Linked DNA regions of Tamandua tetradactyla. The protein of the gene in region 1 interacts with the protein of each later gene in a pairwise test. Links are inferred from orthologs where the notes say so. Each region holds a gene or a part of one and is shown on either strand. Other genes may lie near its edges.

Region 1 (3,903 bases):
GCCCGCGGGCCCTCGAGGCGGGCGTTTGCGTTAGAAAGGGCATCTTTCAAAAGGCTGGAGGGACGCGGGGGAGTCGGCCCGGCGGGAAGCGCGCGGCCGAAGCAATGCCGCAGAGCGGCTACCAGCCCGCTTTGTACTTGCGGCCAAGCGCGGCCCCAGAGTTTCGGCGGCGGCCTGGGAGTTGAGGTCACGCCCCCTTTGCAGGGAGAGCTGCGGCGTCTGATTGGTGCGCCGCGAGCCAATGAGCGCGCCGGGGCGGTCCGGGCTGTCAGCGCGCGCCGCAGCTGAGCCGGGCGCAGCCTGTCCTCCCCTGCGCGGAGCCCTGCAGCCAGCGCAGCCTTCGCGGGAAGCGCTATCGCTCGCGACCGCCGCCTTGCCCAGCCCGCCAGCCGCGCGTCCGGGTGCCGGCGCTCCACGGCCACAGGCTTGCTGCGCTATAGCGCACGCAGCACGTGCAGACCCGCAGGCGCTAAGGAGCTATCTGTCCGGGAAGCTTCTGGGCACTGTCACGCCGAGAGACCTTTCGGGGCTTTTGCCGCGTCTCTGCGTGTCGGGTGACACTGCGGTGCTCGCGAGCAGGGTGGTAGCTCCCTCTCAGGGAAGACGTCTTGAGCTCGGTGCTTTCTCTTTCTCTCCTTCCTCCCCTGCTCGCTCCTTCTCTCGCCTGATCATACCCTCAGTCTCCCGAAGCGCGAGGCGTGCGTCCCCGCCGCTTCTCCTTTCCAAAGGGGCCTCCTCACGTCGGAGATGCAGTGACAAGATAATATGGGCGTCCAAGCCACGGTTTCCCAGGAGGAAAATTGCGAGAGGCAGCAGCCACCGAGCGCCCAGAGTTCGTGAGCAGCCCACCCAGGAGAGGCGTGAGACCCGGCTGCAGCATCTTGCCAGGCGGGAACCGCTGAGCGCTGTGACCAGTTCCGGGCCCCCATCGCGGCACCCTGAAGGCGCGCTCGCCTGCCCGCTGCGTTCTCCCCGACTCGGGGATTTTTTTATTCCGCCGCTGGTGGTGGGCGCCTCGTGGGCCGAGGCCCGGCGCCTGCTCTGCCGCCCGCGCTGCCTTTAGCGGTCGCCTCCGCTGCCGCTGCCAGGGACGTGCTGGGAAAGCCGAAGCCCCGGGAGAAGATGCCGGCCATCCTGGTCGCCTCCAAAATGAAGTCGGGACTACCCAAACCCGTGCACAGCGCCGCGCCCATCCTGCACGTGCCCCCGGCCCGGGCTGGCCCCCAGCCTTGTTACCTCAAGTTGGGAAGCAAGGTGGAGGTGAGCAAGACCTCCTACCCTAGCCAGATCCCCCTGAAATCGCAGGGGCTACAGGAGCCGACGGGGGAGGGGCTCCCGCTGCGGAAGAGCGACTCGGTGGAAAATGGGTTCGATACCCAGGTGAGAGGGTGCTACGTGCCCTGGCACTTATTTCGGGGTGGGGGTAGGGGGCGAATGGTGAATACTTTTTTTTGAGGGGAGTGGCGAGGGGGGAACGGCTAGGTGGGGTGGAAAGGGCTGTCCTTATGGCCGAGGAAGGGAACGGCTCCCCTTGGTTAAGGGGCAGATTCGGGGATGCTCCAGCAGAGTGGGCCGGCGGGTGGGTGTGGCCCGGACGCCCGAGGTTTGCCAGAGGAGCCCTGCGAGACCCGCGGTAAGGGCATGCCTGCTGCTTCCTTCTGTTGGGTATGACCAGGCTGCTCTCAAGAAGGGTGTGCAGCTCTGGAAATGGCAGGTTCTGCATGATCATGGGCTTAGCCCCAACACGGGAGTAATATGTGCTGCTGTATTTGTTTCTGTCAGTTCCACCGAGGACTGGCCCTGCTAAGGGGTGGTCTGCCACCCAGAGGCTTGTTCTTTTTCCCACTGGACTCGCTGCCCCCTGACTTGGCTTCAAGGTTCAGGAAAGGAGCCTGCCTGAGGGAGGCAGTGGTGGGCATGCAGGCCATCCTTTGGAGTGACAGAATTCCCGGTGTGGTGCTGGGCTGCAGTATGAGTGCCGGTGCACCGGCTAAGGCAGGCAGCTGGAGATTCCTAGCGTCTTGGCTGGCTGCTGCGGTGGGGGTGGCTGTCTCAGAATGGCGGCCTGAAACCAAGCCCCTCCTTCCTGGGTGGTAGATCCTGGTGCTGGTAGCCAGAGTGACTGGGGGTACCGGTGGGAAGGTGGCTTAAAGGGAGGTGGTTCATTCTACCTTTCCAGACAGAGTCCACATCACCCAATTCGGCCGTGTGACAGGCCCGGGTCTTGCAGTCTCTTTTAAGGAAGTCAGCAAGGGCCAATCAGGTTCACTTGGCCAGATGCCCTCCTGCTGCCTTTTTTTTTTTTTTTTTTCCTCTTCTGGTAGGAGGGAGTGGGGGCATGCTGTATTTTCTTGGCAGTGTTTCAGTAGGGACTTTTGGGGACAGGCAAACCTGACGGATGTGACTGTCCTGGTCAGGAGAGGCAGGAAGCCAGAAGGGAGGTGGTTTGGGGTTGGTGTCAGGGTAGTGGCAACAGACCAGCTGACCTTTTTGGCAAGTTTTTCTCTGCTGACATTGTCTCCACCTTCTCCTGGAGCTTTCTCTGATCGGAGGCTAGAGCTCAACACATTCCTAGCTTTTCTGGTGAGGCACTGGAGCTGGAAGCTAATTGTAAGCAGACTTCTGGAACTCTGAGCTGGAGAAAGCCCTCAAAGTAGATTAAGCTCCCATGTCAGGCTGATAAGCATGCCCCTTGCTGCTGCACTTGCTAAACATTTTTGGAAGCTGACAGGTTTGAGTGATGGCATGTGGGAGGAAGGCAAGTTTTCCTCCCATGTTTCCAGGGCCCCTCTCTTCTAAAGTTTTATGTGTCTACTCGTTTTCTTTTGTGAGCCAAGGGATTTGTCCAGTGGACTCTGAAAGGGAATGAACACTGGGGTATATGCCTGCGGGGTTTTCCCCTTCGTGCTTGGAAGTAGGGCTTATGAGATGGGGTGGGCTGTACATGAGTGAGCAGAATGGTGACTCAGGATGTGACACACTCCCTCGAGCCTGATGAGGAGGATCTGAAGAATGAGAGGGAAAGTAGAGACTGAGATTGTTCATACCCAGGCAGCTGTTCTGCCTGGTGCCCATTTGACCCTTCATTTAACAAACATTATCGGAGGATGTGCAGTGGGCAGACCCTGGAAAGGTGATTCATCATCCTCTGCCCTGAAAAATGTTCTCTCACTTCTCCCTGGGGGCTGGCATGGTCCCATTTGCTTGGGTCTTTGCTTCCCTCCCTCATCCTTGGTACACAATTCCCAGAACCTTCACCCCACCCCACCCCCACCCCAATCCACTTCTCTTGCCCTCAACAGGTCCTTGTTGCTGACCACAAGGGTGATTTGGAAGGACTGCTGAGGGAAATGATCACCTCTGAGTGGAATATCACAGTTTTTCCCTGCCAGCCCTCTCTGCGTCAGTGTCCAGGGATCCTGGAAGCTCTTCCCTTTGTCAGGTGGCAGATCCTTGTTCTCTTCTCAGCCCATCCTGACATCAAAGAGGCATTGGAGAAAGGGGTTTTGCTTTCTTTGGGCAGCCCACACTCTGACTTACATGGTGCCCAGCCTTCAGAAAAGCCTCCCAACTTCAGCTTGAAGACAGTGTCTGATTTGTGGTCTGGTAGTCCCCCTGCCCCAAAGCTAGCATTTATCACTGGCAAATACTTAGGAGGTGATGAGTTAAATTACAAATGATGTCTCAGGGCCTCTGCCTCCCCTTTTATTCAGTTGATTTTTGACAAAAAGCTGGGTTGCGCAATGGTTAACAGCTTTAAAGTCAGATGGTTAATTGGTGGGGTATCTGATCTCGGCCATGTACTAGTTGGGTGACCAGGTGGATTAACCGCTCTGGGCCTCAGTGTTCTCATCTGTAAAAATGGACATAAACAGCCATGATAACTGGTTTGAGGATTAAGTA
Region 2 (3,903 bases), on another chromosome or scaffold:
TTTGCCTGCAGTTTGCGGAACAGTTCACAAAGGGGGGCCTACCTTTAGGAATAGGTTTTAAATGACAAAATCATGACATCTGCATCTGTCAGGTTATGATAATTTGGGTGACCCACAGCCTCAGCAACTCATGTGGACTGTGGGAAGGGACCTGGGGCTCAGGCTAGTTCTGGCTATAAGTCATCTGTCCCCTCAGGGCTGGGAACATCCTGGGCAATCTCTACCTTGGGCTAACTTCTGAGCGAGGAGAAATTATCTGAATAGGGGCTGGCCCTGGAAGTGGCCACATCACCCAAGGGTAGTCCTCTGCCTAAAAATCAGCTAGGGAGGCCAGGCTGGGGCGGCAGGGAGTGGAGGAACCTGGGTCCAGGGGCGCACCAGCAGCTAGGACATCAGAGTCTGGACACAGAAGGGAAGCATCATCCCGAATTGCACCTTCTAAACCCATTTTTTACTCTCCTCCAGCACTCTTACATCCACTTCAGGATACACCTTTTCACGCTCTTTCATTCCTTTAACACTGAATCATATCGTTACAAAGGCTGCATTCAGTCATACTCTCAACACTTTCCACGTGACAGGTACTGCTCAAGGGACCCCAAAGTGGACTGGACAGTGGGTCTATTAGATGCCAAGGCTGATGCTGTGGGGGCAGCTACTGCCAGTGGAGGGGTGAGGAGGGGTGGGTCACATCCTCTGCAAGTTTAAGGGAAGAAGCAGAGGCCCAAGTAGTTCGATCGGAGCGGCAAGACCAGAGATGGGAGGTACAGGCAGTTCTCCCTGGCTCGTAGGTGGCCGTCCGCCCTCGGCTCCTCCTCCAGTTCTGGGTCGGCAGGAAAGACTGCGGTGCGACAAGACGGTGGGGTGGGGTTGGGAATGACAGACAGGATTCACCGACACCTCGGGGGCCGAGAGCCTGCACGTGTTAGCCCAGATGACCAGAGTAGGGGTCGGCCGCGAACAGGTGCAGGCTGGAGGTGCACACCGGGTGCCTCGAGCTTAGAACCGCGAGAATGGCCACCGTTCCCTTCCCAGCCCCTGAGGCCTCCGCACGCCAACTGTGCCTCTACGCCCATACGCCCTCCGGCGCTGCGGCCCACCCGGCGGAGGCCCAGACCCGGGGCGGCGCACACCCGCAGGGCGCCGAGCGGAAGCTGGGGGGCGGGCCCTACTTACGCCCCGCCCCGGCGGCCCGCGCCCCAATCAGTGCCCGCGGTCTATGAATAGTGAATGAGATGCGGGCCGGCCCCGCCCCTCGCCTCGCAACCCGCGCCGACCGCGCGCAGAGCCCCAGCGCGGCCGCGGAGGAAGATGGCGACCGCCATGTACTTGGAGCACTACCTGGACAGTAAGCACCCGCCCCGCCTCCCGGGCCCGGCCGCTGCATGACCGCTGCCGCCTGGCTTCCTCGCGCGTAGCTTCTGCGCGCCGCGGCCGGAGATTAGTGAGGGCGGCCGGGGGCTGGCGGGGCGACGCTCGACGAGCGCGCGCGCGCGCGGGCGGGAGGCGGGGCGGGGCGGGCGCGGCCCTGAACGCGGCGCGGGCTCCGGGCGATTTCGAGGTGCGTCACGGAGGGGCGGGGCCGAGGGCGGGGCAGGGCCACCCACGCCTCCGCCCCGGCCGCGCGCCCCCTCCCAGCCGGACGCGCTGGTCTTAGCTGGTACCAGAGCGGGCTCCCAGCGCCGAGCCTCAGTTGCTACCTCTCGGGAGGGGGTGGTCTGCTGAGCTGGGGGCCGTTCGGTGGCCGGGTCCCCCCGCTGGCCTGGGCTGACGCCCTCAGCCTCTCCCCGGTGCCCGTGTCCGGAGCGGCTCCCTTTGCCTTACATGTGACCACAGGCTTGCTCCACGGGGAAACTTGAGTCGATGGCGACTCTCCCAGGTTGCATACGAGGAAACCGAGGCCTGGAGAGGTGCAGGGACCCGCCCGAGCCCAGCTGGCGGACCCGGTGTGTGAATCCGGAGCTCCGGAGTGGGCGGGTCTGCGGTGCCCTTCCCGGACCTTCTCACTGGATCACCTCTCTGGGTCACCTCCCCGGGCCAGCTCCCCAAGTCACCTCCCTGGGCGCAGGATGCTGGTGGCGCACCGGATCCTAGGCAGTGAGGGCATGGTGGCCCCATTCTGGCCCGAGCAGAGGTGCATGGGTTGGTGGGAAAGCCAAGTCAAGGAGGTGGTGGAGTAGAGGTGTTTCCCCAACGTCGTGGGTACCCAGGAAGGAGGAGGAGGGGCACTGGGGCTGGTGTGCCAGGACTGCAGACATGACTTCCACTTCCATGGAATTCACCAGCTAATGGGGAAGGTGGATTTGTAGAAGGGTCACAGAAGCCTAAGGGCGACAAGGAGCGCGGTAGGTGAAGAGCACAGGGTCATTACTGTCCTGCAAGGTGGCAGAGGCAAAGCCCTGGTAGGATGGAGGGTGCAGCCCAGCAGATCCTGGGCCTGAGCGGGGTGGACTGGGGATTCACTTGGTTGGCTTTGGAGAGTGGATGGGAGGGGCTCGCTGGGGTTCTGACCAGGAGTGTGGTGTGGGGCCCAGGGCAGCATTGTGGTATGGGGCCCTTCAGTATAGCAGTTGAAGGCTGCAGGCTCCAATATAACTTTGGTTAAAACTGAGTAACACTGAAGTCCAGTTCCCATGGGCCATCTTTAACCCACCCATACCCTTCAGAGGGTCCCGCCATTATCCCCACTTTGCAGGTGAGGAAGTTGAGGCACAGAAAGATTATGTAACTTGCCTGCATCCCACAGCCTCAGAGCATCAGAGCACCTGTCTTTCAGGGAGAGTGACCCCAACCTGCCTACTTGCCCAGAGCTCTGCTTACTAGCCATCACAGACTGAAAGTACCATGTTAATTCACCAGAGTTGGAAATGGACACTGTCCTGGGGAGGCAGGGATTTCTTTTTCTCATTACCACCTTCCCCCCCATGTGCCTGGGACTTATTAAGAATTTGTGTTGAAATGAGTTCAAATGTTGGGGGAATGAACTGTGGAATCTCGGGTACTTGAGGGGCCTTCCAAGAGGGATCTGGCTCTGGCCAGTGAGGTAGAAGATGAAGATGGCCTGGAGGATGAGCCTCTGTGCCCTGTTCACATCCAGCTAACGCCACCCCCTCTTTTTTGCACTTGCTTTGCCCTTCGTCTGAACTTCTCTCCAGTTTGTGCTGAACACTAGTATTTTTATTGTTTTTCAGATCCTCATGAACTGCAGATAGTTTGCTGCTAGTAATTGCCTTGTTTTCTGGCATTATTTGTTCCTTCAAGCTATATTGATTAGGAACCAAAGTGATTCAACTCTTTCCAAGAAAAGATTTCAGAGAGGAGTCTTTCTTATGAGCCAGAGGAGCGTTCTCAAGCCGTTCCATTCTGCTCCAGCGGAACCCAGTGCGCCTCTGCCTTACAGGGGGTGCCTCTGTCCTCAGAGGCAGGGCACGTGCTACAGCTGGCACTAGCTGTGGGGTTGGTGGGCTGGGTTGGGATCCACTGAGAGCCCTGTGACCTCCCCAATCCTCCCTTTTGTTTTGTTTGTGGGAAGAGGACAATGCTGATTGCTTCCTGCCATGTGCAGGACTTGTGCTGCTGTCTAGACAGTGAGCATGTGGCCAGGGGGCGATGGGGTCTCAGTCGGCATGTCTGCCCACCCTGGGCCTCCTTCCCTGTCCTACTTGCAGCTGTTTCACAGCATACCTCCACCTCCTCCCTTCCTGAAGTGGGCAGCCTGTTGACAGCGTTGTTTGGTACCCAACCCTGAATAAAGAGATTTTAGCCCTCTCCCCTCCCAAGCCCCAACAGAAACAGAAAATGAGTTTTTTATTTGTTGAATTTGATATAAAACCTTGAAGGCAAAGCTTTGTCCTATTCTCATAAATTCCACAGAGCCTGATGCCTTTGTGTTTCAGGTATCGA

What was found.
Region 2: the proteins of NAV2 (region 1) and ING5 interact in binary tests that used the Homo sapiens proteins (3 or more experiments, as listed by UniProt). The two-hybrid records come from large-scale screens. The link is inferred for Tamandua tetradactyla from reciprocal best matches to the Homo sapiens genes NAV2 and ING5.

The regions. Positions count from the first base shown.
Region 1 is NC_135334.1:95,257,150-95,261,052, forward strand, and holds the start of NAV2 (neuron navigator 2), read left to right. Parts: upstream 1-1,001; 5' UTR 1,002-1,122; coding exon 1,123-1,380; intron 1,381-3,903. UniProt on the Homo sapiens protein: Possesses 3' to 5' helicase activity and exonuclease activity. Involved in neuronal development, specifically in the development of different sensory organs.
Region 2 is NC_135329.1:80,715,310-80,719,212, reverse strand, and holds the start of ING5 (inhibitor of growth protein 5), read left to right. Parts: upstream 1-1,263; 5' UTR 1,264-1,311; coding exon 1,312-1,348; coding exon of another isoform or gene 1,349-1,387; exon of another isoform or gene 1,388-1,439; intron 1,440-3,896; coding exon 3,897-3,903. UniProt on the Homo sapiens protein: Component of the HBO1 complex, which specifically mediates acetylation of histone H3 at 'Lys-14' (H3K14ac) and, to a lower extent, acetylation of histone H4. Component of the MOZ/MORF complex which has a histone H3 acetyltransferase activity.